7 separate regions of the Mus musculus genome follow, and all the other regions are reported to be linked to region 1. The links are microRNA targets in miRTarBase. Many come from high-throughput screens and were not tested one by one. Region 1 holds a microRNA gene; each other region holds the end of a gene's coding sequence. Distances are from middle to middle.

Region 1 (4,068 bases):
TCATGATGAGTCTGGGATCAACTTCGGATTCATGTGATGCCCCCAATCTATTTGCTTGTGTGTATATGTATGTGTGCATGAACATGTGTATATGAATATACATATACATACACACATACCCATACAAACATGCATACAAACACACAGAAAATGGATACTCATTGTTCTATTGAATGATATGTGTCTTAGAGTCTTAGAGATTCTGTATGACTGGGCCAGGGAGAGGTCACACTCACCATGTGACGCCCCTTGCCAGAGTCAGGGTGATCAGGAGTGCAAATTCATGTTAACTGCGTGATGAGGTAGAGATCAGCCTGTCATTCATGTGATGGCCCCTGTGTATGTGCATGTGTGTTTGTGTGTGCGTACATGTACATGTGTGTATATGAATATACATATACATACACGCACACATAGATACGCACGCACACACACACACAGGGATGGCACTCATCAATCCATTTGAATGATAAGTGACTTAGAGTGAAAATGCTTACTAGAGTTAAGAGTATCAGGAGTTCAAATTCATACTTATCCTCATGAGAATTTAGAGATCAGCCTGTGATTTATGTGATTCCTCCATGTATGTGCATGTGTGTATAGTTGTGTGTGCATGTTCATGTCTATATTTGAATATACATAACATACACACACACGTATAAACGCAAGCACACATACACAGATACAGGAATGGCATTCGCCAATCCCTTTGAATGATAAGTCATGTAGAGTTTTAGAGATTATGCAATAGGGGACATTGAATGGTCTCACCCACCAGGTGTAAAAGATTGACAAAGTCAGGAGGATAAAGATTTCAAATTCATGCTTAATTCAGTTAGAGATCATCCTGGTATTCATGTGATGCCACCCATGTATGTGCATGTGTGTTTACTTGTATGTGCATGTGCATGTGTTGACATGAATATACATAACATAAACACATGTGTATATGCAAGCACACACACACACACACAGAGAAAAAATTGCATTCATTTATATGTTTGAAAGATATGTGACTTAGAGCTTTAGCAATTATGTAGTACTTGGCCAATGAAACTTCTTACTTACCAGTAAAATGTTTTTCATATTCAGATGGATCAGGAGTTCAAATTCATGAGTAACTTCAAAATGGTGTACAGATCAGCCTGGCTTCATGGGATCCTCCCCAATGTATGTGCATGTGTGTATAGTTTTGTGTGCATGTGCATGTGTGTATATGAATAGACATATACATCCACACAAACATATACAAGCAAGCACAGATACACACACAGGAATGGCACTCATCGATCCATTTGAATGATAGGTGACTTAGAGTTTTAGAGACTGCAGTAGTGGGACAGTGAATGGTCTCAGTCACCAGCTGTAAATGATTGACAAAGTCTGGAGAATCAGGATTTCAAATTCATGATTAACTTCAGTTAGAGATTATCCTGGTATTCCTGTGATGCCACCCATGTATGTGCATGTGTGTTTACATGTGTGTGCGTGTACATCTGTGTAAATGAATATATATATATATATATATATATACATATATATATATATATATATATATATATATATATATATATAACATAAACATACATGTATATGGACACACGTATGCACACATACACACAAGGAATGGAATTCATTGATATGTTTGAATGATATGTGATTTTGAGCTTTAAAGGTTATGTAGTACTGGTCAAATGAAAGTTTTTCTCACTATGTAAAAGCTTGCCATATTCAGAGGGGTCAGGAATTCATATTCATAAATAAATTCAAAAGAGAGTAGAGATCAGCCTGATTTTATGGGGTTCCCCACAATATATTTGCATGTGTGTATAGTTTTGTGTGCATGTGCATGTGTGTATATGAATATACATATACATCCACACAAACATATACAAGCATGCACAGATATACACACACACAGAAATGGCACCCATAGATCATTTTGAGTGACATGTGACATGTGACATGTGAGTTTTAGAGAGTATGCCGTGCTGGGCCAATGAATGCTCTCACTCACAAGGTAAAGACCCTTGCCAGATTCAGGATGATCAAGAGTGTAAATTCATGTTGGTTGCATGATGAGTTGGAGATCAGCCTGGCATTCATGTGATGGCTCCTGTGTATGTGCATGTGTGTTTGTGTGTGCGTACATGTACATGTGTGTATATGAATATGCATATACATGAGAGCATACATAGACACACGTGCATGTGCGCTTGCATGCGCGTGCGTGCACACACACACACACACACACAGAGGATATGTGATTTACAGTCTTATAGATTATGTAGTAGTGGGTAATGAATGGTCGCACTCATCATGTGTAAACAATTTGCAGATTCAAGAAGATCAGGAGTTCAAATTCATGCTTAACTTCAGCTGGACATCATCCTGGTATTCATGTGATGCCACCCGTGTATGTGCATGTGTGTTTACAGGTGTGTGCATGTGAATGTATATATATGAGTATACATGTACAGACACATGCAGCACACACACACACACGAATGCCACTCATTGATCCATTTGAATGATATGTCACTTAGCATATTAGAGATTATGCAGTACTTGGCCAGTGAGTGCTCTCATTCTCTAGGTGAAAATCCTTGCTAGAGTTAAGAGTATCCCGAGTTCAAATTCATACTTATCCTCATGAGAGATCAGCCTGTGATTCCTCCATGCATGTGCATGTGTGTATAGTTGTGTGTGCATGTTTATGTGTGTATTTGAATATACATAACATACACACACACGTATAAACACAAGCACACACACACAGACACAAGAATGACACTCATCAATCCATTTGAATGATAACTGACTTAAGAGTTTTAGAGATTATGCAATAGGGGACAGTGAATGGTTTCACTCACCAGGTGTAAATGATTGACAGAGTCAGGTTAATCAGGATTTCAAATTCATGCTTAACTTCAGTTATAGATCATTCATGTGATGCCACCCATTTATGTCGATGTGTGTTTTCGTGTGTGTGCATGTGGATGTATGTATATGATTTTGCATATACAGACACATGCACACACATGCGGCACACACACACACACACAAATGACACTCATCGATCCATTTGAATGATATGTCACTTAGAGTTTTAGAGATTATGCAGTTCTGGGACAGTGCGTGATCTCACTCTCCAGGTCAAAATGTATGCTGGAATCAGGAGTTTTAGGAGTTCAAATTCATGCTTAACTTCATGATGATTTTAAGATCAGCCTGTGATTCATGTGATTCTCAGCCATGTATGTCCATGTGTGTATATTTGTGTGTGCATGTGCTTGTGTGTATGTGAATATATATATCATACGCACGCACACACACACACAAATGCAAGCACATACACTCTCACACACAGAGGAATTGAATTCATCCATTAATTTGAATGCTATGTGACTTATTCTTTTAGAGATTATGCAGTAGTGGGACAGTGAACGGTCTCACTCGCCATGTGCAAACATATTACAGATTGAGCAGGGTCGGGAGTTCAAATTCATGCTTAACTTCAGCTGGACATCATCCTGGTATTCATGTGATGCCACCCGTGTATGTGCATGTGTGTTTACGTCCCTGTGTATGCACATGTGTGTATATAAATATACATACCATAAACATACATGTAAATGCAAGCACACAAACATGGAATGGCATTCATTGATACATTTGAATGATGTGTGACATAGAGCTTTAAAGATTATGTAGTATTGGGCTAATGAAACTTTTTACTCACAATGTGAAAAAGCTTCCCATATTCAGAAGGATTAGGAGTTCAAATTTATGAATAACTTCAAAATGGCTTAGAGATCAGCCTGGCTTTATGGGTTCCTTCCCAGTGTATGTTCATGTTGCATAGTTTTGTGTGCTAATGTATGTGTGCATATGAATATACATATAAATACACACAAACACATACACACAGGCACACACACACACACACACACACACACACACACATACACACACACACACACACACACACACACATACCCCGAATGGCACTCATTGATACTTTTAAATGACATGTGACTTAAAGTTTTAGAGATTATGCAGGGCTGG
Region 2 (4,068 bases), not on the chromosome of region 1:
TTACAGTGATAGCAATGAGATTTTAAAATCAGGATGTTAGCCCTGCAGTCCTTTTTAAAACCAGCTGCTACTGGTCGTGATTACTACACCTGTCTTGGTGTGTGAGCGCTGGGAGTTTATCGACAATGATCTCTATGCCAAGCGTTTAAACATGAGTGAGCCTAACCTGTAAGATAACGGGGGCAGTCTTGATTTCCTGATAGCTAGCACTGGAAAGGGAGCAGCAGATGCAGAGCTCCTTGGTGAATTCATGTGCTCGAGACCCTAGGTGTGGGTACAGGCAGCTCCACAGCTGTCATAAGCCTTGGGTGAGAGAGGAGCGCAGAGCTATGTAGAAATGAAAGGCTGCGGCGCTGCCCGCAAGGGTGTGTCGGGCTGCTTTTCAGCGTAGAGTCTGCAGGAATAGACAGGTTCCTGCTTGGACAAATGTCATAGGAAAAAGCAACCCAGTCTTGTTGGAATTATAGATCCCATTTGCCAGAGTGAAGGGCACTTGCTCTTTTAACTAGCTGAACTAGCTGGACCCTGGTGGCCTAGTTGCTATGGCAATACGAGCTCAGTGACCTCTCTTCTCTTGTGGAATGTAGGTGAGAAGGACCGAAGGGAGCCTGAGGATGCTGAACTGGTCAGGCTCAGTAAGAGGCTGGTGGAGAACGCCGTGCTCAAGGCTGTCCAGCAGTACCTAGAAGAGACGCAGAACAAAAAGCAGCCAGGGGAGGGGAACTCCACCAAAGCTGAGGAGGGAGATCGGAATGGTGATGGCAGTGATAACAACCGGAAGTGAGAGCTGAATCCAGTCCGGTCCGATGCCCCTCTGCTAAGTCGTAGACTAACTCGCAATGTGTCTTGTTCAAGCCCTGGAGATCACCTAATACTTCTCTGATTGATGTGATTGATGCGTTCGGTGTTGCTGCGACACAACAGAAAAGAATGGGGTGCTGGGACCAGCAGAAGAAATTAATTTACAGAAGAACAACACTAAGTCGGTGTGCCATCGACCATGCACAAGGGAGAGCGGGCTTTTCGGACCGCCTGCCTGACTCACAAGGCGGAGGGAGGGAGAGGACTTGCCACAGACAGAATACTGCCGTTTACATTGCTTCGATCCTTTGACTACTTTATCGGAGGCCAAAACTTGCACACAGCTATCAAGTGCTAAGTTCAGTTTGTCATTGTTGAAATGACCATTAGTATAGTGAGTCCACAATGTTTCCTGTTTGTCCTCTATGTGTTGTTACCACACGGTGATCTTTATTTACAGTAAATTAAGTTTCGTGTAAAGTATATATTTTTGGTAAAATGCAATCTTTTCTATGAAATGTGGGTGATGTTTTAAAGGTTTTTAAGCCTTATTTTGATAAGTCAATGTGCCATATTTAATGTACTTCATTGATATTTGTACTTTAAATGTATTATATAATTTTTCCCCTTAGGCAAGAAGCCAGTTGGAACCCAAGACTTAATTAATGAAGCTTTGCACCGAGAAAGGATGGAGCTGAAATCCAAAGTGAAACAGATAAAAGAACTTTTGTTAAAGCCTGAGACTCAGGCCAAGATTAGAAAGGAGCTTTTTGAAGGAAGAGTTTTTAATAATGGTAGTCCAACAAGCAATGCTGATTTCAACCTGATTTTGCCATAGCTCTCCACTGTTGTTATGCCTGGTAAAGTGTTTATGAACTCTCAGCCCATTAAATAGCTCTTTGGTGAGTAAACAGAGTGTTCTTACAGTTTCTACAAAGCCCACAAACCAACACTTGGTAAGGAATTAACAACTTCTTGCCAAAGAAAACATATTTTTGCCTTATCATGGTCATCATCACCATTATCACCATCATCACCATCGTCACCATCATCGTCATCACCATAAAGTTGAGTTTTAGAATGTTCGTTTTGGTATCTTTGACTCATTTTATAGAAATAACTTCTTAATTAGCTGTTGTAAGATGTTCCATGGGGTCCTTGCAGATAATATTGCGCATACATATATATATACATGTATGTATGTATGTATGTATGTATGTATGTATATATATATGCACACACACTATGAAAAACACTATGAAAAATCCTTTACAGACAAAAAACAACAAGAAAACAAAAATAAACCATCAACAGTATTCTAAGGGTCACCTGCCTCCTGTTGATGTAAGGGTCACCTGCCTCCTGTTGATGTGGCCCTTGTCACTTCAGAGGAAGCATTGTCCGGGCTTGTCCAGTGTCACAGTCCTTTTGCTGAGCGTTTGAATGCTTATTGCTATCAGTACTTGAATGAACATCAGTAAGTGTAATCATTGTAGTCATGGGTTAAGAATGTTTTATAATATCTATATTATTATTTTTCACTGATAAAAGTACAGTTGCATTTTTTTTTTTAATTTCTTAGTGAAGAATGTTCAGGGCTCTTATTTCCTACTCTATGAAGATAAGCCCAAGGCTGTGTTCTTTACGATTTGAGTAGTTTGCACTGGTTCATTTATAAACGAGCATTCTTGAGGTGTTTCCCCCCATGTGATGTTTCTTTGTAACAGCTCTTTGGGTAGTTACTTTAAAATTGCTGCTACTGGTAGATGATGGGGAAGGAAGTAGTTAGAGATGAAATATGTAATCCTCCCACACACAGTCCAGTTTGCTCGTGTATTCTGGTTATTTTTTCACTGGGTAGCTGATACTACATGAATTCATGATGTATTCCTTTATACGGCCCTACGTTTTCATGCCCTGTAATAAAAGTACTCTTTCCCCTGTTGCTTTTCTTCTTTTCTTTCCTCTGGAAACCATTGGGTTCTGGTTGGTGTTCCAAAGCCATGAGCAGGGACTCTGAGGTTTTAGTGCTGCCTGCCTTTGTGCTAAAGGAAGCATAGCACTTCACCACTTTCAAAGCAGTCAACATCAGACGCAAGTAACCGCAGAACAGAAAACTCAAAGATAACCCAAGTGGCGTCTACAAAATAACTAACCCTGTGTCCAGAGTAGCAAATACAAAGAGAGCAAATTCATCTGCGTGTGCACATCTGCTAGCTGCTGGCTGTAAGCCCCCTCTGAGAAGCTGGCCGTGAACCAGGAACCCCCCCCCCCCCCGAGTGGCTGTCCATGAGCCTTCTGTGACAGGGGCTGTCTACGAACCCCCTCTGAGCAGTGGAGGTCATCACAGCTTTTCTTGGGCAACTTTAAAGGAAGCAAAGATGCTTAGGTCTGTCCTGGTTTTTCAAAGGAGGAAACCCACTCCAGGGGTCGGGTGGCTGCCCTAGTCAAAGGCACACTGCTGTTAAGAATTTGGACCTGAGTCACAGCCTAGTGGCCCCAGCGCTCCATTGTTACTTTGTCCCCTGATCCACGAGAACAATTTCAGATCGACATTTCTTAGCACCAGTCTGTATCTTCTTCTCAAGGACTTATCCGCAAATCTAAAGAGCTTGAAAGATGTAGTGCTCCGATTCCATGTCTCTCTGTTAACTTCAGTTGCCTGTCAGTTTCTGTTGTTAAATACCCATGAAGACCTGGGCTATGGTGCCAGGTGATTTGGGCACATGGTTAAATCTCTTCCTTAAGTGGTTCTAGTAGGAAGTAATTAGTACTTTCTAAGTTAGGACACTGGGGGAAATTTATGCTGAAATGGTCAAGGATGTAAAACAAAAGAGCGCTGAATTTAAATTAAAATCTATTCTACCTAAAAGGTGACATTTCCCACAATGGGGCATTTCCTCCCTTTTACAAATACAATATTTCAAAAATTAAAGATGAGTAATAAAGAGGAAGTCCTTGAGCCCTCCCACCACAAACACACACAGACACACACAGTCACACACAGACACCCCCCAACAGTCACACACACATACACAGTCACACAGATACACACACACAGCCACACCCAGACAGCCCCCCACAGTCACACACAGACACCTCACACACACATAGTCTCACACACACAGAGACACACAGTCACACAGACACACAGTCACACACAGACACAGACAGCCCCCCCCCCCACAGTCACACACATATACACGGTCACACAGGCACAGACACACAGTCACACACAGCCACACCCAGACAGGCCCACCCCCACAG
Region 3 (4,068 bases), 27 Mb from region 1:
TCACCAGCATTACTGATTCTGATATCCTAGCTCCTTGAACAAGACAGTGCCCTGTCATTTTGACTCTCCTTAGATAGTGTTCCTACAACTGAATTGTTATATTCAAGCAGGTGCCTCTGTTATGTATAAATTACATATACATTAAATCCTACAATTCTACCCACATACACTGGACTCAGTGAATGTGTAATGTTTCTCTTGAATATAAAGCGTTTACAAGAGTATTAAAACAAATGCTGGAAATTACTATTTTACATTTAGACCATAAAAATTTAAAGTTAATGCAGTGACATAAGACCTAAGAGATCAAATACATCATATGATTGTCATATATGCAGGTTGTGTTAATTGGTTATTGTTTTCTTTAATCAGAAAATAAAAGAGCTTACCTTTGAATACTGAGATCACAGCTTACAGTCACTATATCTCAGCCTATTTTATACAAGTGATATGGCTACGGAGGTCCGAGGAGAACGAGAATAAAGTGAGATAAACGTGCTGAAAACTGCTTAAAAGTATTAACCTGAAATACACAGAGGGTCCAACACCAGTTTTAAAAATACATTAACAAGGTATTCCCAGCTCTTCAATTAATTACGGTGACTGATTCATGATTTTCAAACATTCACCCATTTAAAAAAAAAAGAAAAAAAAAGGAGAAGAAGAAGAAAAAAGAAAATGCTAATCCAAGCAAAACCATTAAGTATTTCATTCCCAGAGGGTAACAGTTTGAGGGATTACAAACAATCTCAGGAGCTACTTAACCCAACCCCTTACTTTGCCATACTATGCACCAAACCTCATCAGCATGAGGTATGTTGGAAATCTATGGAGCCATTATGAGGCACAAGAGATGTGGCGCTCCTGCAGCCTTAAGGGGCACAGGTTGCCAGCCACACCTCTGGTGAAGCGTCGGCCCCCACCAAAAGATATGGCTTAAGGAGGACACCTGTCTCGGATTAATTATAATACTGCTAGCTGGCAAAGTCAGAAAAGTAAAAGCTCAAGTTATGTACTAAAAACGATTAAAAAGTGTCAGAGGATATAGCACTGCTCACATAGATTCTAAATTCTACATTGGTCTGTAAACTCCCTGACAAGAGCTACACACTGAAGGGTTTACATCTAGATATTGCTACATGTCCAAAAGGAGAGCTTTAAAACAGACATCGTGGCTTTGGACAAAGTATTGCTCTTTTTTAAAATTCTTAGTCATTGATTTCAAAAAGGGTTAGAGTGGATCTGAAAGCTGGAAAGCCTTAGGGGTCACATTGCTCTTAAGACCAAGATATAAAATTGCCATTCAAGCCAGACAACCTGATGGTTCTAGAAGTCAGAGAAGAAATCTTGAGGGCCCAAGTGAATAATAAATGGTGCGACGCTCAGAGGCTGGCAATAGGGGCTGTCAATGAAAAAACCACCTACAGTGGAGAAAAGAGCAGAGAAGCAGAACTTTATGTTAATCTCATACAATTGGACGAAGCTAAGAGCTTCATTTATATTTCTCTGCTCTTTCAACTGTAAGTGGAATTTTCATTACAAAATGAAGGGTGGGACGGGCAAAAGGTGGGAGGACACTTAATTCATTACAGAATTTAAACAATTGAACTTGCATGGTTACCACTTCTAACATAGGGTCAACAGCTCCATTGTTTTAAGTAAAGCAGAGAAATGTAAAAGTTTGCAGCAACTGGGCAGGTTTACAACATGGTTAGTAACTTCCAACAAACAACAAAATTAAGAAGAAAGAGGGAAGACTTGGTAGGAACCATTTGAAATGACGGCCATCATGTTGGAGAACAGCACAGCTTCCTCCTCCATCAGAGAGGGGGTGAGTTATGAGGCAGAGTCAGAGACTGCAAAAGTCTTTTCTAAAGAGAAATCTCAAGGCAGATTCCAGCCTAGAGTCCAAATTTGATGGTCAATTTCAAATAACAATACAACTGCAACTGCCAATTAATAGTATTTCAAAAACAGAACCATTGTAAATATTTAATTAATTAAAAACTAGATACTAGCAGCCATGCTTTTTCTTCTCAGTGATGGCTCTGTTTCATCCATAGGTCAGCAAAACAAACCAATGAACATGAAAATTCCCAGCTGAAAAGGGCCCTGCTCCATTATGTCTTGCCACTAACACACATGATGAGAATGACAAGTTAAAGCTATTTTCAGCAAGTGACAAGGTTTTATTAAAGTATCACCCACCACTATTAGAAAACAAAGGTCAAGGAAAGGAACAAATGACTGTGTGATACACATCTGAGCAGTATTTGTGCCCGCAGGCTCATCTCGCATTCCCTTCCAAAGGAGCCTGGTACATTAAGTTTAGTAAGACCACTTTCAAGTGATGGGCACTGCTTGAAGTTTTGAAAAGGAATTTAACAGAAAAGTAGTTACTTCCTAAATCATTTTTAAGAATAGTGACTTGTGTCTGCAGAGGACTACACTTGTGCCTGAATGGGGGTGAGTACCTTAATGAAACCATTACCTTCTAGTAACATCATCAGCTTTCCAAACATGGTGAGAATGCAAGGAAGGACTTGGGTCTGCACCCTTCACAGACCAGCACAATGTTACTGGCTCCCAGTTTCTACCAGTATAATCAGGTGTCTTAAAAGTAAATGCTGACCCATGGCTGAAATCTGTCACTTTTCACAGCAGCACTCAACAAGAACTGGGACAATCAGAGAGCGAGTTTTTATGGGGATCCTGTTGCTGCTTTAGATTCTGATATCAAAGAAGAGGAAAGGAGACTCTTCAAGGAATTCCAAAAAAAAAAAAAAACCTGCTAATCATCTATCTACATGGAAAAAGTCAAGGAGTGAACACAGAGTCTTACAGAGTGAAGAAGGCCACAAGAACAAAAGAGGGTGATTGATTAATTTATTTTTTTAACTTGGAAATTCGTAAACTAAAATAATCACAATCCTCCTTCCCCATCTTTGGATGGTGCCATCATTTTAATAAGCAATGCTGGAATAACAGAATGTAACCTTATCATGGGGATGCTCTTGTACAAATGGAGTACAAAGAGCTTACAAAATGAATAGATTGAGAAATCATCTTTGCTTTGTTTTAGCAGCTTGCTTACAAATAAATGGGTTTCTAGGGCCAAGTTATTACTAGTTTTCAATTCCTTGAAATTTGATACCAAAACATATCAAAAATAATAAGATAAAACAATATTCAAACCCATATTTTATTGGCTTTAATTACACACTTCGTTATTTACAAAGTTAAAGTTTAAATGAAAAGTTTCTACTGTATTTAAAAAAAAAATAACTACAGCCCAAATTCAAGTGCCCTGGAGTAAGCACATATCACTCAGCTACCAATCAGTGACTGCATCAGGAACCAGGCAGTACTCTGTGTTACAACAAAGCAGTTTATTTGTAATCAGTGTTGAGACTCTATACATCCTTCACAAATTTAACTTTACATAATCTGATACTCTCTTAAAACGTCAACTTTGAGCTGCTAGACTTCCCTACAACGAAGGGGCTGGTATAAATTATTTCCAGGAATGAGGTACCGTTTCACAGAACTGGTTTCTTTTGTTTGTTTTCAAGTTTTAGAGAACTGAATTTGCATTTGTTAAAATCAAAAAGTAGGAAAGATGTTCTTTACAAATAATTTTGATCAAGTAAGTATGTGTTCAAAGAAAGCAGGATAAAAAGGCTTTTTCTCTAACATTCTGCATTGTACTGTATTGTTGTTCAATAGGAATGAGCTTCTGTCATTTACTAAAAGAATGAGTAGTGGGGAACAGGATATGTTGGGAATTTCATAACGGGTAACAGAACCATTCTCTTGGGCAAACCTACAGAGAAAAGAAACGGAGAGGACTCCAATAAAAATTTCAGGTTAAAAATTCTTACAGTAATTATCATTAACCATTTCCAGATTAGTCAGTCCACTTCATACCATTTTGGAAGAGGCCCACAAATCTCTCACAAATCAATTGCTCTTCTATCTTGATACATAATGTTTTCTGCTCTAAAATAAAAAGCCTGTATTATAGAATGACACTCAGAATGACATCTGAGTGAGCAGGCATGAATTCTA
Region 4 (4,068 bases), not on the chromosome of region 1:
CAGATGCAGAGAATGTACCGGTGTGAAGAAGTGCACATAGCAAGTCCTTGAAGACAATTTCAAGTTAATGCTCCAATTCTTATTTTTGTAACACATGGACCCATGAAATCCCACCTGTACCTGTGGTTTCCACAAGCCCATAGCAGCCTGCACCTGGTGAAGCACTGGCTGATGGGATAGAAAATCTGGCACCTGCTTGCCGACTCTGGACTTCCCGGTCACCACGTCGTCATATGGCAAATCTTAAACTTTGGTTTTGTTCCAAAAGACATTAAAGTTCAGGTTACTTTCCCCTCTGGTAGGAAGGTGATAGAAAACTGAGGTGTGCCCCGCCCTCTGTTAGCAATCCTGTGCATCCCTGTTGAGTATGGAGTTGAGGGGGACCTACTGACAAGCCCTTTGCCGGGGGCGTGCATAGAGGCAGGGCTCTTCAGAGCACTGGAGGACTCTATACCTATACAGTTTACCTGCAGAGCAATAAAATGAGCGATGCCATGCCAGCCCTTTCACCCTGGGGCTTGATGGAATGGCCCTGCAGCCCTCTCAGCATCTTGTATCCTGATGGGGGGACAGTTCGGAATAGTTATGCCCAGCCATGGTTTATAGCCCCGGCCAATAAAAGAGCTGAGGGTGGCTCGCCCATACTACTACACTGCCCAAGAGAAAAGGCTAGGGGACCAGGTGTGAGCAGGCAGGGGACTAGAGGTAAGGCCCAGAGCATGGGACTGCCTGCCAGAATGTAGACTCAGAGGCAGTGGGGTCCAAGGCTCAGCTGTTAAGACTGACAGCTCCTGAGTCCACCCTATAGCTGCTGTCACTCTCCAAGGGCCTCAAAGTAGTGTTCCATTCAATTCACGGCACAGGCCCATTCAGCCATGACCTCTTGCCTCAGGAAAACCCCAAGCCCCTAACGTCCCAAGCCAACAAAAATATGTTTTGGATTTACAACTCAGGCCACTATGGATTTTCTGATATGTCTGAGCTACCTAGCAGTGTTAAATCCTATTGCCCAAGTCTCTAAGTCTCTAGAACCAACGTCATTTGCCACCACAATGCTGAGAATAACTATGCCCACCAGCCAGGCTTATGATGCTCCAAGGCTGCGCAGGGCAAACCAAAGCACAAATTCTGTAAAAAACAAAATAAATAAAATGGCTTAAAGAGCTTCAACTTCTGGCTGAGGTTGCACATCTGTGCGTGTGAATGCTTCTGAGAGCCGTTGTAGGGGCAGAGCCCAAGCCCACAGAGCCAGTGAGCTAGAGACAGAAGTGAAGGGGCAGAGAGGGACTGATCCAGAGGCTGGTCCTGTGCTCCCCGACAGTGGCTATCCCAGGGAGAGGGGGTGCCCCCAGTTACCATCACCTTTTATTTCAGCCATGAAGCAGGGGAATAATATTTTGTTTTTCAAAAAGAAAACAAAAAGGCGTCAAAATAATGGCTCTGCAGGAAACGCCTCTGAGGAGTCCTCGGCCCGGCCCCAGCAAGCCACCCATGAGAAGCTCTGCTGCAAGGACCCGGGGTCTTGCATAGCCGAGAGTTTCAGAGCTCCAAAGACTCCGGGCACCTGATTCAGCGTTGGCTCCTGGGCTCTCTCTATGGCAAGAATAGTGCGGTGCTCAAGAGAAATGAGCCAGAAACTGCCAAGCTCTACAGAAATCCCAGAAACCATTAGAGGCAGAGCACCCTAGTCTCTGGTCAGGGATGAGCATTAAGTCCATCCAGACACTAGGGGAGATCACCATACGTTGGCCTATCTACCCACACCAATCCGGGGATGTACTGGGAGAGACAGCGTGTAGTAGAAATAGATCTCTCCCCTTGGCAGGAGGTGAGGGTGGACAGAACTTTTGATAAATTTATGAGCTGCTATATCTTTGGAATTATTTTAGAATCATTACAAAATGAACAAGCTAAAAGACTTGGAGCATTCTGGCTCTAACAGGTATTGATTCTCTTCCCAGAAACGACCCTAACTTCGTTTTCTAACTGACGTTCCATGACTCACTGAGCTGCAGTTGACATCTCTTTGGCTCTCCCTCCTCTTCTTCTCCCTCCTCTTCCTCCCCCTCTTTCCCTGATGCCGTTTGTTCCTGCTGGGGAGGAGGACTCTGCCATCTGCTCGTGTGTTCTGACAAGTGAGTTTGGCACATTTACTTTCCACTGACTTTCTAGCCATAGAATAAAGTGACAGCAAAATGGATCTACTAGAGAATGTCCTAGTGGTAACTGGGAGGGACTGTGATCAGCACAGCAGGGGTAGGGAGACCAGAGACCTGCCACACCATCTTCCTCTCCAGCTAACATCTAAGCTGTACTCAGATCGCTACAGCTTTCCACTACCAGATGGCCGCCCCCACATCCGCCGATTGCATTCTCTAACTTATTTAATTTGGAAAAATATCAGATAAAATTTTTCCTTAAATTTAAAACATGAAAGCAATGTATTGACCACACACGGCATCATCTAGAAATGTGCCTTCAGTGGGGTTAGCCAACAGGTTCTGGACAACAAATAACTCAGCAAAACTAGGGGAAGGGTGAGGATAGTCTGGGAACATAACTTTGAGCTTGAAAAAGTCCATCAACCTGAAAACATTCCCAGTCCCAGTTCTATGAACAGTAGCAACTTAGGAGGAAGCAATAAGCAGCCACAGTGGTAGTTCAACTCTGAGCCTTTACAGTGGGTGATGGGAAAAATGGAAGCCTACGACGGTCAGTCCTGTGGCTGCACTGTGCACTGACCAATGAACTCCAGTAAAGGGATGGCGGAGCCTGGGCAGAGCCACTGGCACAGCACAAAGTACAGCCTGAAAGAGCTCAGAAGCAGCCAGTTTTGTCTTTAATAGGTGTCAGAGCTAGTCAATTCTCTGCCTCCCTCTTGCCACAAGTTAAAAATATTGCCCTGTAAGTTTTCCCTATTTAGTGTGTTGGAAGCACATGATTAAGTTAGTTGCCAACGGGCAATTAACAAGGGTATTGCCTAATTAAACGGGAAAAGAAAAGTCATTGTGCCCTACAGTAGTGGTTGGGGGTGAGGTGGGGATGAGGAAGCCGCACAGGGCTGGTGCTCGGTACTCTCTGAACAGGGCTGTCTGCGGATGGAGAAAAGCTGTCCAGGTGTGCCAGTCATTACACCCTCTGCTTCCTTCTCCGAGGCTGCCTCACATGACCAGCAGAGCCCAGGGACAGCACCAGGTATGCGGTGGGAGTTGAGTTGATGCTGGAGTTGGCAGATGCCCTGGGGTGGGCACCAGAGGGAACACACAAGAGCGGGGTCAGCGAAACAATCCCTTTGAGTCCCAAGTTATGTCCCTTAATGCACAAAACAAACCAAGAGAAGCCTAAAGCCCACAGTCTTACAAAAGACAGAAATTGAAACAAAAATGTTAAAGAATTTAAAATTTCCCCCCTCTCCTCAGAGCCAACTGTGAGGTCAGTCGGGGTCCCCCACCCCCATCCTGCTTTCTTTAGTGTAGGTCCTTTGGGCTTGGACAGGAGTGGCAGAAACAGAGCTGGGGCCGACGAGGTGGGAAATTTATTTCCCCAAGTCGGAGCCTCAGGGAGTGTAGGAGGTACTGTGGCTCCACGCACACGCAGTCCCAGCTCCTCTGAAGAGCTATTCCAGGAGGTCCTGAAAAGAAAGACACGTGCGCGTTATTGACAAGTTAGGAAGCTAGTTTGAAAGCAATCACCTGCTTGCTCTGCGCCTCTTGTCACTCCAGTGCTGCTTTGGGCTCATGCATAACTTGGTCCCAGGTGTATTTTTTTTTAACTTAAAATAGATTTACTTATTTTCATTATATATGTATGGGAGGCCAGAAGAGGGCATTGGATTCCCTGGAACCAGAGTTCTAGTGAGTGGTGAGCCATCATGTCTTCGCAGAGAATGAAACCTGGGTTGCCAGAGTGGCAAGTACTTTTAATCCCTGCGCCATCTTTCTGGAGACTGTCTTGATCAGAAGTATAAAAGGAACTCTTTTTAAGACTTTATTCCCAGCACTTGAGAGGCAGACACAGGCCTTGGTGAGTTCGAGGGCAGCTTGATCTACTAGACCTAGAGCTCGTCCT
Region 5 (4,068 bases), not on the chromosome of region 1:
GGTTTCTCTATCTTCTATCCCAGGAGCCCCATTGGGCCCAGCCTCTGCCTAAGCCATGTGTCCACTGTTCCTCCTGTCTCTTTTGTCTCTAGCCTCTGTTGCAGATGCAGAGCTGGGCTCCATTGTGGTCAGAGGACTTCAAATACATTGTTTAACAGGTTTCACTCTTTTTTTTCCCCCCAGAGACAGGGTTTCTCTGTGCAGCTCTGGCTGTCCTGGAACTCACTGTGTAGACCAGGCTGGTCAACAACTCAGAAATCTCCTGCCTCTACCTCCCGAGTGCTGGGATTAAAGGCGTGCACCACCACTGCATGGTTCAGGCTTCACTCTTTGGTCCCAGTTGTAATAGTAACAGGTGATATTTTAGAGAATATTAAATCATAGAATGAAGGTGTTTCCCTGGCCACTGGCCTCAAACATAAATTTTAACAGCACCATGAAGGAGTAAGTGTGACAAAGGCTGCCCTGGGGGTTGTGGTCCTTGCAGAGGGATCTGCTGATCTCAGAGCCTACTGTGGGCTGAGGCCTGCAGTATCTACCTAGAAACACTGAGGGTCAGGGGACAGGTGGTAGGACTTGGCAGACTGCCTATAGCACAGTCACCATCAGGGACACCTCTGTCAGGAACTGCTAAAGAAATCCATAGGGCTACCTGCTCCTATAGAAGGATCCATCCTATAACAGGTCTTCTGCCAAGGCTACACCTTGACCCACAGCCCCAACAACCTCATTACACCCTCTAAGTTAAGTTGACTTTCCTTTGAAGATGGGGCCCAGAGTCTCCCTGGTCTTCCCATGTTTCAGTCTTGCCTGCCTGTTTCAGGTAGATGGGATGTAGATTCTGTCTCAGCATCTTTCTGGTAGCTCCAGGGGCCTCTCGGGTACTCAAAGCGCCTGAAGAGGTGACTCATTCATAGATCTGAGAGGTGTCCTTGATCTGCCTAGGCTGCACCGGCACCTCAGCAGGCAGACGTGAGATTGTCTGGCTGTGGAGTGGCCCCGTGGGAGATACAGCAGACGCTGCTAGTCTCCAGACAGTCAGAGCCTCCATAGTTAGAACCACTGCTGAGGTGATTAAAGTTGTCATAACATCTCTGTGTGCTGAGGATATAACCTCATGAAATACTTTCCAGTGCAGGGATGCTGTGTGTGTGTGTGTGTGTGTGTGTGTGTGTGTGTGTGTGTGTGTGTGTGTGTATGTGTGTGTCCGGGTATGTAGTGTTACCTTTGTGAAGAGCTCTCTCTCTCTCTCTCTCTCTCTCTCTCTCTCTTCTCTCTCTCTCTCTCTCTCTCTTTCTCTCTCTCTCTCTCTCTCTCTCTCTCTCTCTCTCTCTCACACACACACACACACACACACACACATTCCATACAGATGGACATGCAATGTGACTCTGACAACACCCACTCACAACTAACGCTCTACAGGCACACATGTGCATTCACACTCACGTGAATACTCACTGTACAGCCACCTACACACTGGCCATGTGGATTATCATGAAGGAAGAAGGGAGGGACCTGGTAAAGCAAGGCCTGGAAAGCTGGCACAGACAACTTTCAGCCTAAGGGAGGTTGGTTCTGAGTCGAGGGCTCTGAGAAGCAGGGATGCTGCACATTATGACATTTCCCCACAGGACGTCACGGGATTCTGCTGCAGCACTTATCCAAGTGGACTCATGAATCTAAATCAATGTTGAAACACAGCCAGGTTCAATATTTAATGCCGAATTTCTTTGGTTGAATGAAGAGGTGTCTCTGTTCTCCCAGAGGCACCGTGGTAGAAAAGATGAGGGATTAGGCCCAGGGGAGCAGCCTGGATGGGGGCCAAGCCTCTCCCATACTGGTCTTCCTTGTCAAGACTGAGAAACACACACATGAATGCTACTGACCAGCCCGACCAAGGACAAACAATGTAAAACACTGTATTTTCCTCTGGATGGTCTGTATCTACAGTACGTACACAGCATGGTGGGTTCTGCACACATCAGCTACACAAGCAGGTAAAAAAGTCCGTTAGTGAAAGGAGCTGAAACAGCCTGGTGGTCCTTGGCTACCCACCTGAGGGATGGGTACAGAATGCTGCTTTAAGGGATATCACAGAGGAGCTTATGAATATCAGCTCTGCCTGCTAGCCTCCTTACTCAGATACTGAGTGTGTCTGCCTCTAGATGGCACTGCCCACCACAGGCTGCAGAATGCTGCCGCCTCGCCTCCAATGCTCTAGGAACTTACCTATGCCCTGTTCTCTGAGGCGGTTATCGGGAAGGCTATGCTCTGTGAAGCAAGTCACAGACTCACCCACATCTGCAGAGAAACCCAGCACTCAGGGCTGTGATACACACTAATTGTTTGTGGGTGCGTGTGAACACCAATGCGTCTGTGTGTGGACAGTGTGGTATGTGTGCATGTGTGGTAGTGTGCAGGCATGTGCACGTGCATACATGTGGTGGGCAAGCGTGTGGATGCACGTGTATGTGGTGTGCATAGTGTAACTGTAAATATGTATAAGCATGTGTGTACACACAAGTGTATGTACACACAAAGGTGTGTTCATATATGTATGCCAGTGTGTGTGTGTGTGTGTGTGTGTGTGTGTGTGTGTGTATACATATGTAGGCATATGCACTACAAACTGGGAAGAGAAAGCTGGAGAGGAAGGGTGGACAGTCACAGGTTGGCATCTCTGGGCTCTCACCTCTGTGAGGATCTCCCCTGGGACAAGACACTTGCTTGTACAAAAGGCTCATTGTTGAAATATACTCTTTGAGGTGGGGCTTTGTACCCAAAATGATCATGAAAATGGCAAAAAGGAAAAGAAACCGTCATCCATGATAAGAAACCTTCATCCGTGATGACCGTCACACCCCACTCAGCCCCTCCTTGTGGGACGGAGAATCTGACTACTACATGCTCACAATGGGACAGAATCCAGTCTGATAGAGGCCAACTTTCAACAGCACAGGCCCAGAGAGACTGTAGCCAGCTCCCTGAAGGCCACAGCCATGAGTTGTTTCCCCTCCCCATGGCTCCATACCAGGCCCATCCTTAGCACTTGAAATGACCTCAGGCTACCAGGCCAGGGCCATTTCCCATTACAGGTGCAGGTGGTGAGTAGGCCGAGGTGCCAGATGGCTCCCCCAGTGGAGATGCAGGTGTGAGGTAACGCAAGGACAGCAGGGGACAGGAAACTGCCCAGTGTGAGCGAGCTCTGGAGGGCCACTGCGGTGGTCCCTAGAGCAAAACCTAACATATATATACCAAAGGCAAGAACACCAGCTGGAGTCTTGGGGGGGGGGTGTCCTCCCAGCTTCCCTCCCAGCAGCGAGGGAAGGTGCTATAAACAGAAAGCAGGTGACTAGCTTATGGAGGTAAGCTTGGGGACTAGTGGCGGTTGTATGTGGCCCAGTGTTCTTCCCATGGGTTCTTATACAACAAAAGAGATCATGGCTGAGGGCTGGGAACCATTTCAGAACCACTTGGTCATTTGATGGCCCTTCCAGTCCACATAGCAAAGGGCCACTCCCTGCTCTGAAGCTCCTCCAGGGACACGTGGTGGCACTGGCGAAGAAGTTGTGTTCCCAACCTGGCTACACTGTAGTTTCATTTTTCCAGGGTCCTGTTCGGATGTTCCCTGTCCCATCAGTGCCAAATGGCAGGCCTTCTCGAACATCACCCTGGAGCAGCCCATTCTGGCTGGGGCCCCCAAAAGGCAGGGACTGTGTCCTTCGTAGCATCTCCAAGTGGGCAGGGCCTGGGGATAGGTGTGGGGGGCAGCCATAGAGCCCAGGGCTTGTGTCTCCACCCTCAGGCTGGCTGACCATGGGGAAGGGGTCAGCCTGGGCACAGCAGGCCAATGTGTGCATCCCCATTGGGCCCTCCAGAGAGCTGGTGGGGCTCTCCGAACGTGAACTGTGGGGACTGCCATCCAGGCTGGAGGGGATGTGGTAAGCATACTCCCTCTCAGCCGCAGCTGCCTGGTGCCGGCTGAAGTAGTGGGACTTAGTTCTGCCCTTGAGGCACCTGTGCAGGTGAGGGTCATGCAGGTGGGGATCGTGTGGGTAGACGTCC
Region 6 (4,068 bases), not on the chromosome of region 1:
TTCTCCTTCTCCTTCCTTCTCCTTCTCCTTCTCCTTCTCCTTCTCCTTCTCCTTCTCCTTCTCCTTCTCCTTCTCCTTCTCCTTCTCCTTCTCCTTCTCCTTCTCCTTCTCCTTCTCCTTCTCCTTCTCCTTCTCCTTCTCCTTCTCCTTCTCCTTCTCCTTCTCCTTCTCCTTCTCCTTCTCCTTCTCCTTCTCCTTCTCCTTCCTCCTCCTCCTCCTCCTCCTCCTCCTCCTCCTCCTCCTCCTCCTCCTCCTCCTCCTCCTCCTCCTCTTCCTCTTCCTCTTCCTCTTCTTCTTCTTCTTCTTCTTCTTCTTCTTCTTCTTCTTCTTCTTCTTCTTCTTCTTCTTCTTCGCATGTGTGCCATGATGTGCATGCATAGGTCAGAGACAACTTCACAGAGGGCAGTTTTCTCCATTTGCCATTGTCAAGCCTACACAAGAGCTGGGCCATCTCATGCTGTTGGTTTCTGACTGTTTCTGTCTGTTTCTCCTCTTTTTTCCTGGCCAGATACTCTATTTCTCTTGTTCAGTTTCCTGAACACCGAGATTGCAGCCTGCAGCAGCCTGTCTACTCCTGCACGACTTTTGCTAGCAGGAGTGAGAAAAAGAAATGGAGAAGGACTGAAATTCAGTAACGCTAAGGATGAGGCAGTGGTGGTGAGGCTGAAAGACAGACTGGATCAGTTTATTGGAGAGGAAATTCATCAATGGTAACACTTGCTCAGCATTGGGTGTAGATAGAACGAAGCAGACAAAACCCAGGATGCCTACTGTTCTGCAGCTATTATCCCGTACATCATAGTACCATGCACATAAAAATGCTGAGAAATAGTCTCCTGATAAGCAACTCTTTGTAGCATTCTCTGGTCTTGCTTTCACTTTACTTTTAATTTAACATTCTCTTCGGGGAGTCAACATCATCTGAGCTTTTTACTCAGTCTCCTGGTGCATTTCTAGTCTTAACATTTTCAAGTTATTTGCAAGCAAAAACCTGAAAGGTGTTTTCCAACCTTTTCCAACCATGTTTACCCATCAGGGCATCGCTAGCATAGAATTCAAAGGCAGTTTGAGAAGAACGCATTACGTCTACACAGACAGGAGGCTGGGTCTTAATCACATGGGCACACAGTGTCTTTCTCTGTGAATCACAAAGAGTAACGACACATTTTTTTTTCTTCTTTTTTTCTTTTGTATTTCAGATCAGCTTGGGAGACTGTACATCATCATAAGCACAGATCTTTTTCTTGGGAAAATGGCTTTGTAGCCTACTGAGAGCAGCTCGGCCTGCTTCTACATTCTCAAGGAAGACAAATGGCATATGCAGCCAGAATTACTTGTTTCTATAGCTGGACTCTGGAATTACATAGCAAGGGATAGATTCTTCCATCGACCTGAAGGTGATTCTTTAAAGCTATGTTAAGTGAACAATCAAATGGATTTTGGAGAGTTCATTTTAAATGATCAAAAATTTGGGAACTTATCCCATGTTTATGTGACTCATATAATGTCTGAAGTGTTTGGGGCCACCTGTTGCTAGATTCAGGGGTCTCTCTCTCTCTCTCTCTCTCTTTTTTAGCAGCCATCAAAGGATGTTATTTCATGATATGTGACAACGACTTGAAGTTCAGATATTACTGTTCATATGAAAAGTGTTGCTGGAGCACTGCTCACTCATTTATTTTGTACTGGGCTCCATGTGTGCTCTATGGTAGGTCTGAGCAATCCTGACAAAGGCCGTTGAGTTCAGAAAGCCTGAAAAGGAAACTGGATATTGGTAGAAACTGTTTTGTGGTCTGTGTCCTAAGGGCTTTTCTCTAAAGAAACACACTGGGCTGAAAAAAGCACTGGACTTTCCTATTAGTAAATGTTATTTACATTCACAGATGTTACTATAGCACCTAGGATAACTGTCATAGAGTAAAGTAACAGACATAGCTTTATTGCATTTAGGATGTAATAACTTTCAGTGGCACACAGTTATTAAGAATGCATGCTTTAAGTGCATTCTTATTCCTTGAATCTTGATCAGTTGTCCTCAATCTTGAGCTAAGTGGCTCATCCTTTTTGGAGGTGTCAGATTTTCTATGAAAATAAGGGATGGATGGCAGCATTTGGCTGGTCGTTAGGTATGAAGTGGGTAAGATATGTAAATTAGCTCAGTGCCTGGCACATGGCAGGTGTGCGACTCATTGTATTATGATTGGTCATCAAGTGATGATGTTACCCATCACTTTTTGGTGTTCTCCGCATAGCATTACCTGTCACAAGGAGCCCCACGGGATTTTGTTTGTGTCATTTTGTGCTCCGTGCCTTCACTATGAACCACCACGTTCAGAAAAAGTGCCCACAGTTACATGATCTAACACACTTGACCAGAGTGGCAAAAAGAAGCCTGGGAACAAAGCACAGTGCAGGAGTGAAGAGACCCGGGCAGCTGTTTGCAGCCTGAGAGGGACGATGGGAATTTTTTTAAGGTTAGGCTCTGACCTACCTATCCTTACTGAGAATTCAAGCTTCTTTGATGACTCATTGATGACAACTTTGGTCTGATTTAGCAGCTGAAGTCTTTATTTAATTGTTGAGCGTGAGTGAAATTTTTGTCTTTTGTGTTACTATTACAATTTTTCTTTTATTACTTCCTATCAAAGAGGCTCTTAGAAAATCACAAGGGGGAAAGTCTTGGAAACAGTTTCCTTCCTTCTGGCCCTGGTGCTGCCTTCCCTCCGTCTGACCTTCCTCTGCTCTTAGGTGGCTATGGTTCTGGGTTTCTGCAAAGGAGCTGGGGCCCAGCTAGCGTGTGGACTGTCAGCTCTGAGGCTGCTAATCCTTTCAGTATAGATGGGTCCTAAGCAGTCAAAGGAGGTGGTTGCTCTTCAGGAGTACTGTTTAAGAAACTTCAAGTCCCCTTTCTTGGTCTTCACAGATTGATTATTCTTTCTCTCTTTCTTTCTCTCTCTCTCTCTTTCCTTCCCTCCCTCCCTCCCTCCCTCCCTCCCTCCCTTCTTTCTTTCCCTCCCTCCCTCCCTCCCTCCCTCCCTCCCGTCTTTCTTTCTTTCTTTCTTTCTTTCTTTCTTTCTTTCTTTCTTTCTTTCTTTCTTTCTTTCTTTCTTTCTTTCTTTCTTTCTTTCCACGATTGAAAGTGGAGAGACCTCCCACCCCAGCTCCAACAACTCTCTAGTACTCCATCTCCCCTCTATTTAGTCAAATATCAGAATTCTAGAAGGTAGCAGTTGTGGGGATGAGAGTGAGTCTCCAACTACAGTTTGAAAGCAGAACCCTTACAGGTCCTCTTCTCCATCCACTTTAAAAATCACATTAGAGTGTTCAACAGATCTTAGTTCTTTTAGATTCCTGCATTTAATACCCTTGACATACCCTCGGGGAAAATGCCTTCGAATTCTCTCCTTGCAGGATCTGTTCATTGCACTCAGCTAATGAAAAGCAGCACAGCAGACTCCAGCATCCCTACATATTCGGGTTGGATGCAAGGTAAGGACAAAAGCAAACACTCAGACCTCAGCCAATGCATTGGTAGCTCCCAGCAGGATTGAGAGCCAGGAAGGGACCAGGAAGGGATGGGAGGTGGGTGGTGGGTGGTGGGTTTGAGATGGGAGGGGGCTCTGTTTATTGGTAAGAGTAGCTCTCATCATCGTACTCCAACTCATCATCTTCCGTCTCATCCAGCAGCCCATACTTGAACTTCCGGTAGACAGTGCCATCTTGGCCCATATAGACGATGTCGTCCTCATCGTCCTCATCGTAGTCCCGGTCCCTGTACTCAATCACCTGGTCCTCGTCAAGATAGCTGCTCCTGTAGGAGGAGTATGACACGGTAGGTTCTGCCAGCTTTTCGTACCGCCCCTTTGCCACAGGTCTGCTTCGAGACTTCCGCCACACGACCGCAGCAGCCCCCAGCAGCAGCAACAGCATGGCGCCAGAGGTCACTAGCAGAGCAGTCTTGGTGTGCTCGTAAAACTCAGCCTCCCTGGCTGGAAGGATGCACTCATCTGATGGAAGGCCGTCCCAGGAGCAGCAGCAAAGGGGGAAAAAGAAACACAATTGGGAAAA
Region 7 (4,068 bases), not on the chromosome of region 1:
GCGTGGTGGCAGCCTTCAAGCATTTGTACAAACGCGAGCTCCTGCGGCTTGCTGTGTCTTGTGCCAGTGGCTCCCCTCTGGACTTCATGAGAAGCTTCGTTCTCAAGGACATGCTGTACCTGGCTGGCCTCTCTTGGGACTTGGTCCAGGCAGGCAGCATAGAGCGCTGCTGGCTGCTGGGTCTGCGAGCAGCCTTTGAGCCTGGGCAGCAGCCAGCTCACCAGGTAGAGGAGACTGCCGAACACAGCAGGGTGCTCAGTGACCTCACACATCTGGCAGCTCTGGCTTACAAGCGCCTGGCACCTGAAGAGGTGGCCCAGTGGCTACACCTGGATGATGATGGAGGCCTTCCGGAAGGCTGCAGAGAAGAGGTGGCCCCCGCTGCTCCTCCATCCCCAGCTAGCCTGCCCTCTAGCATCGGGGCTGGAGAGGAGGAGGAGGAGGCCACCGAACAAGGAGGAGTGTTGGTACCTACTGCTGGGGAAGCTGTCTGGGGACTAGAGACAGCTCTGAGGTGGCTAGAGAGCCAGGATCCCAGAGAAGTGGGGCCGCTGAGGCTTGTGCAGCTACGTTCTCTCATTACCATGGCACGGAGGCTTGGGGGTATTGGGCCCTCAGCTGTAACTTCTGATGATGGTGTGTGACTACCTTGGCCCAGTGGTCTTTTTCCTGCCTCACTGGGAGAGAGGGGGCACATACAGTCTGCCATCTTCCACCTTTTCTCCCCGGTAGTCCACTGTATGGGTCCGGGGATGCAAGCCCAGCCCAGTTTGGAGGAGTTCTATAAGTAAAGGATGTACTGCCCCAATCCACAGGGTCTGGGGAAGTGGCTATGTTCTTCCCTGGGTAGGCACATGTGGGCACATAAGCACAGCCCCTACTGGAGAACAGTTGACTGTACTTCCACTCTGGCCCCTATGGGGCTCACACACACACACACACACCTACCTGCCTCCGAGTGCACTGCCTGAGGCTGCTGCTGTTTCATCTGCTTCCCTGGTGCTACCTGGTCTCATCTCAGTGGGGAAGCATTTGGTTCTTGGTTTTGTTTTAAAAACATTAAACCTGTTTGGAAAGATGCTCTTCCTGGGGAACCCATGAGTGCTGACTGACAGGGTGAGGTGGTCTCTGGGGCTCTCTTGCCCTTGCTCTGATAACTCAGGTCCTTATGGTGCTGGATCAAAGCCCAGGCTAGGCTCCATCCAGTCCCTGGTGAGCCCGGTGCCTGGTGAGGTTTTGGATGCAGCAGAGAGTATAGCAAATTCTGTTCTACTTGGATTTTTAGTCCCTCCCACTCCCCAGCCCCCTTTAAGTACTCCATTCTGGATAGGTCTTCTATTCATGAGGTTAGCAAGTGTTTGGATCAATGGGCAGGACAAACCACAAAGCACTTTGTTTAGCTCCAGGGCAGTCTGATCTACCTGGAAACATGCCCTAGCCTTTGCAACCATCTGGGAACTCTGCAGTGCCTTAGAGTCAACCTCTAGCCCCATGGGCTCTTCCTGCACCAGCCTTCTCCAGGAACTATGGCTGGATAGCCCAGGTTGAAGGAGAAAAGGCTCAAAGGAATGTCCACATTTTGTATCTGCTGCTCTGCCCAGCTGTGGATTCAGATGACTGCTGGCCGTCTGGAGCTAAGGCACCTGCGTCTTAAGGAGGGGCACTGTGTCTTTGCAGGAATTCCATCCAGAGCCTTTGTCCCGGTCCTCCTTGTCTTTATGTCTCCTACTCTGAGCCTTGCAAACATGAAGTGGAGAAGGGATGTAACAGCTTGGCAATGGGCAAAGCCTTGAGTGACGTATCCAAAAGTGATTTCCACCTAGGCCCAAGAATATAGTTCCTTGGAGCCACGACTACATCCCAGTCAAAAATCTGCATAAATATCAAAAGCTGAGGGAAAGCATAGAGCAACAGAACTGGAGCTCAGGTAGCAGGCTCCATCTATGCACACTAAGGACCATCTGACCACCTAAGTACCCAGCCTCCCCAAAGATGACCTAGAAAACCTTGGGCAATCGTGGCTGGTGGGGGTCTCCAGCACTAGCTACTTGGCTGGGTTTTCAAAAGTCTAATGTGTTTATACCAGCAGCCTCCATATCAGCCAGATACCCAGGTTAGGAACTACCATCCAGCTTTGACAGACCTGCTTTCAAATCTGCAGAGAGCCAGATCTGGGCCTTGGAGGTACACTCAAGGCTGGGTAGCTTCTAGTAGCTGCTCTTCAGCCTAGGTTACATGTACTGTTCTTTTGAAGAGGTTCCGATCTGGCCTGGGCTCAGGTAGACTGGAGTTGGCAGAGACTAGGGCTCAGGAGTAAGACCCCTCTCACCAGCCTCTCTAAAAGCCCCTTTTACTTGGGCCCAGGAGGTTATGACCTCATATTGCTGCTGCCTTATAAACAAGCAAGTACGGCCTGGCTGAGTGACAGGGTTCCTGTCAGGTTTGTGTTCGTGTACTACCATTAACGGGGCTAGGGAGATGCCCATGAGGCTCAAAGGTGTCATCTCAGGCTAGGGATGTAGTGCAGTGGTAGGATGTCTGCCTAGGATGCCAAAGGCCCTAGGTTCAAACAACTGCACTGTAAAAAGAAGAGAAAAGTACACTTAGAAACATTCTGGTGTTCTTTACATGCTCTAGGCGGGGGTTCAGATAGCTGCGTCCTGGTTGTGGAGGAGGCTACTTTGCCCAGGTTGTCCAGCAGGGAGTCCTATAGCTCTGAGGCTTACAGTGCCGAACAGCCCAGTGCACAGAGGCCTCAGCCCCCATGGCAGTTCACCTTTCTGTACTCAGTATCTGATGGAGCTTCACAGGGCTCATGGCCCCCCCAGGAGAGAACCTTACACTCTCACTGTATATGTATTTATGTATGTATGTATATATATATATATATATATATATATATATATATATACACTCACCCATTGGTGGTGTACCGCGCTCCCTGTGGGCAGGCACTGAGCTGCATGAACTAATGAGGTTGAAACTGTAGTTCCCTTCTTCAGCAGCCATTGCCACCTGCTGTGTACCAGGCCTCACTCAGGAATCCCAGTTCACTTGCCCCCAGAGCTCGGCCTGTTCCCCAAAGTGTGGTGATCCTTTGGCTTGGGAAGTACAGGCAGCCTTTTCTGCTAGGTTCTACCTTGGATTCATAAACAGACTGTCTGGAGAAAGCACCCAGCCCAGAAAGATGGGGAGTGTGGGTTTGTTGGTGCCACCAGCAGTGGGACACTGAGCCCTTTACACTACCTAGTTAGGATTGCCTGTGGGAAGCCCAGCCGTGACCTGGCCCACAACTTAGCCTCTTCTGAATGCATCCACAAGAGCATCTTGACGCCAGCAGCTGTCCTCCAGAGGCTTGTGGGCTTCCTGTCCTATTGTAGGGCCCTCTCTCTGCCACTCAGCCCTGCTCACAGCTGAATTCACCTGGCCCGTGTAATAAAGGTGAAACAGGTTGACGTCATTAGCTACCCTGTTTTAGTCTTATTTTTGTCACTGGGTCTAATGCTTGCATCTGGAACACTCCATAGGATGGGGGTTGGAGGAGTGCATTAAAGTGGGACAATAGCGATTACAGAGAATGCATGAGCACCTACCAGTTTTTACCTCAGAAAGCAGTGTATAGCAGGAAGAGGCCTCATGACAGTATCACAGTTGTATAGCCCCAAAGCTGCTTCTCTGAGTAGCCAACAGGCTGTGTTCCAGCCTGTCACCAGTGAACATAAGGCAATGTGCTCTAGACTGGCCAATGAAGGGATGTATTTCACCTCCCAGGCCGGGTCCCAGGGACAAATAGCCATTGGTTCACTACCATCACTGACCATCTTGGCAGGTGGGCTGCCCAAGGAGATCCCACAAAGGGGTGCCTTATACCAGACCCTGGGGTTCTATCCTACCTAGACTGGGGATAGCTTAGAGGCCCTGTTGCAGGGAAGTGGATTGCCTTGTGTCTGAACGACACGGAACTGATCCTGTAGCTGGGATGGTGGAGCCCTCTGCTGTCCGTATGGTCTGTCTTCTGGCCTTCTCACTGGCCAGCTCTCTCAGCACTTTGTAGAAACACAGCAGCTG

Evidence for each region. The annotated mature microRNA mmu-miR-669m-3p reads AUAUACAUCCACACAAACAUAU and lies in region 1 at 1,227-1,248, shown strand. An mRNA with a match to its seed (bases 2 to 7 or 8) in the 3' UTR can be bound and repressed. Matches are read on the target gene's strand: a 7mer-m8 pairs with bases 2 to 8, a 7mer-A1 pairs with bases 2 to 7 and ends in A, and an 8mer does both.
Region 2: miRTarBase lists Akap7 as a target of mmu-miR-669m-3p. Seed matches in the 3' UTR shown: 7mer-m8 at 2,022-2,028.
Region 3: the mRNA of Strbp is a reported target of mmu-miR-669m-3p. Seed matches in the 3' UTR shown: 7mer-m8 at 3,415-3,421, 7mer-A1 at 438-444 and 7mer-m8 at 136-142.
Region 4: miRTarBase lists Sort1 as a target of mmu-miR-669m-3p. The part of its 3' UTR that is shown has no 7-base or 8-base seed match.
Region 5: miRTarBase lists Adgra1 as a target of mmu-miR-669m-3p. Seed matches in the 3' UTR shown: 7mer-A1 at 3,425-3,431 and 7mer-m8 at 2,604-2,610.
Region 6: the mRNA of Pcsk5 is a reported target of mmu-miR-669m-3p. The part of its 3' UTR that is shown has no 7-base or 8-base seed match.
Region 7: miRTarBase lists Tigd5 as a target of mmu-miR-669m-3p. Seed matches in the 3' UTR shown: 7mer-m8 at 2,871-2,877.

The regions. Positions count from the first base shown.
Region 1 is chr2:10,511,621-10,515,688 of GRCm38, forward strand. Mir669m-1 (microRNA 669m-1) reads left to right here and starts at 1,170; the gene lies at 1,170-1,267. All of the region lies in intron 10 of Sfmbt2 (Scm-like with four mbt domains 2), which reads left to right. It overlaps Mir297b (microRNA 297b), which reads left to right and starts at 47; the gene lies at 47-155. Mir466d (microRNA 466d) reads left to right here and starts at 347; the gene lies at 347-442. It also overlaps Mir669m-2, Mir466n, Mir669o, Mir466g and Mir466h.
Region 2 is chr10:25,167,768-25,171,835 of GRCm38, reverse strand. It overlaps Akap7 (A kinase (PRKA) anchor protein 7), which reads left to right. Exons shown (of 8, transcript NM_001379238.1): 8 at 588-2,746. The coding sequence ends at 784. Among named protein-coding and RNA genes, the nearest start is that of Gm36313, 16 kb to the right of the region's middle.
Region 3 is chr2:37,580,284-37,584,351 of GRCm38, forward strand. Strbp (spermatid perinuclear RNA binding protein) reads right to left here. Exons shown (of 18, transcript NM_001379315.1): 18 at 1-3,823. The coding sequence ends at 3,747. Among named protein-coding and RNA genes, the nearest start is that of Gpr21, 66 kb to the left of the region's middle.
Region 4 is chr3:108,356,792-108,360,859 of GRCm38, reverse strand. It overlaps Sort1 (sortilin 1), which reads right to left. Exons shown (of 20, transcript NM_019972.3): 20 at 1-3,631. The coding sequence ends at 3,617. Among named protein-coding and RNA genes, the nearest start is that of Mybphl, 6.1 kb to the left of the region's middle.
Region 5 is chr7:139,875,714-139,879,781 of GRCm38, reverse strand. It overlaps Adgra1 (adhesion G protein-coupled receptor A1), which reads right to left. Exons shown (of 8, transcript NM_177469.3): 8 at 1,694-4,068. The coding sequence ends at 3,588. Among named protein-coding and RNA genes, the nearest start is that of Kndc1, 17 kb to the left of the region's middle.
Region 6 is chr19:17,429,769-17,433,836 of GRCm38, forward strand. It overlaps Pcsk5 (proprotein convertase subtilisin/kexin type 5), which reads right to left. Exons shown (of 38, transcript NM_001190483.2): 38 at 2,546-4,007. The coding sequence ends at 3,625. Among named protein-coding and RNA genes, the nearest start is that of Rfk, 38 kb to the left of the region's middle.
Region 7 is chr15:75,911,076-75,915,143 of GRCm38, forward strand. It overlaps Tigd5 (tigger transposable element derived 5), which reads left to right. Exons shown (of 1, transcript NM_178646.4): 1 at 1-3,460. The coding sequence ends at 644. Among named protein-coding and RNA genes, the nearest start is that of Tigd5, 3.4 kb to the left of the region's middle.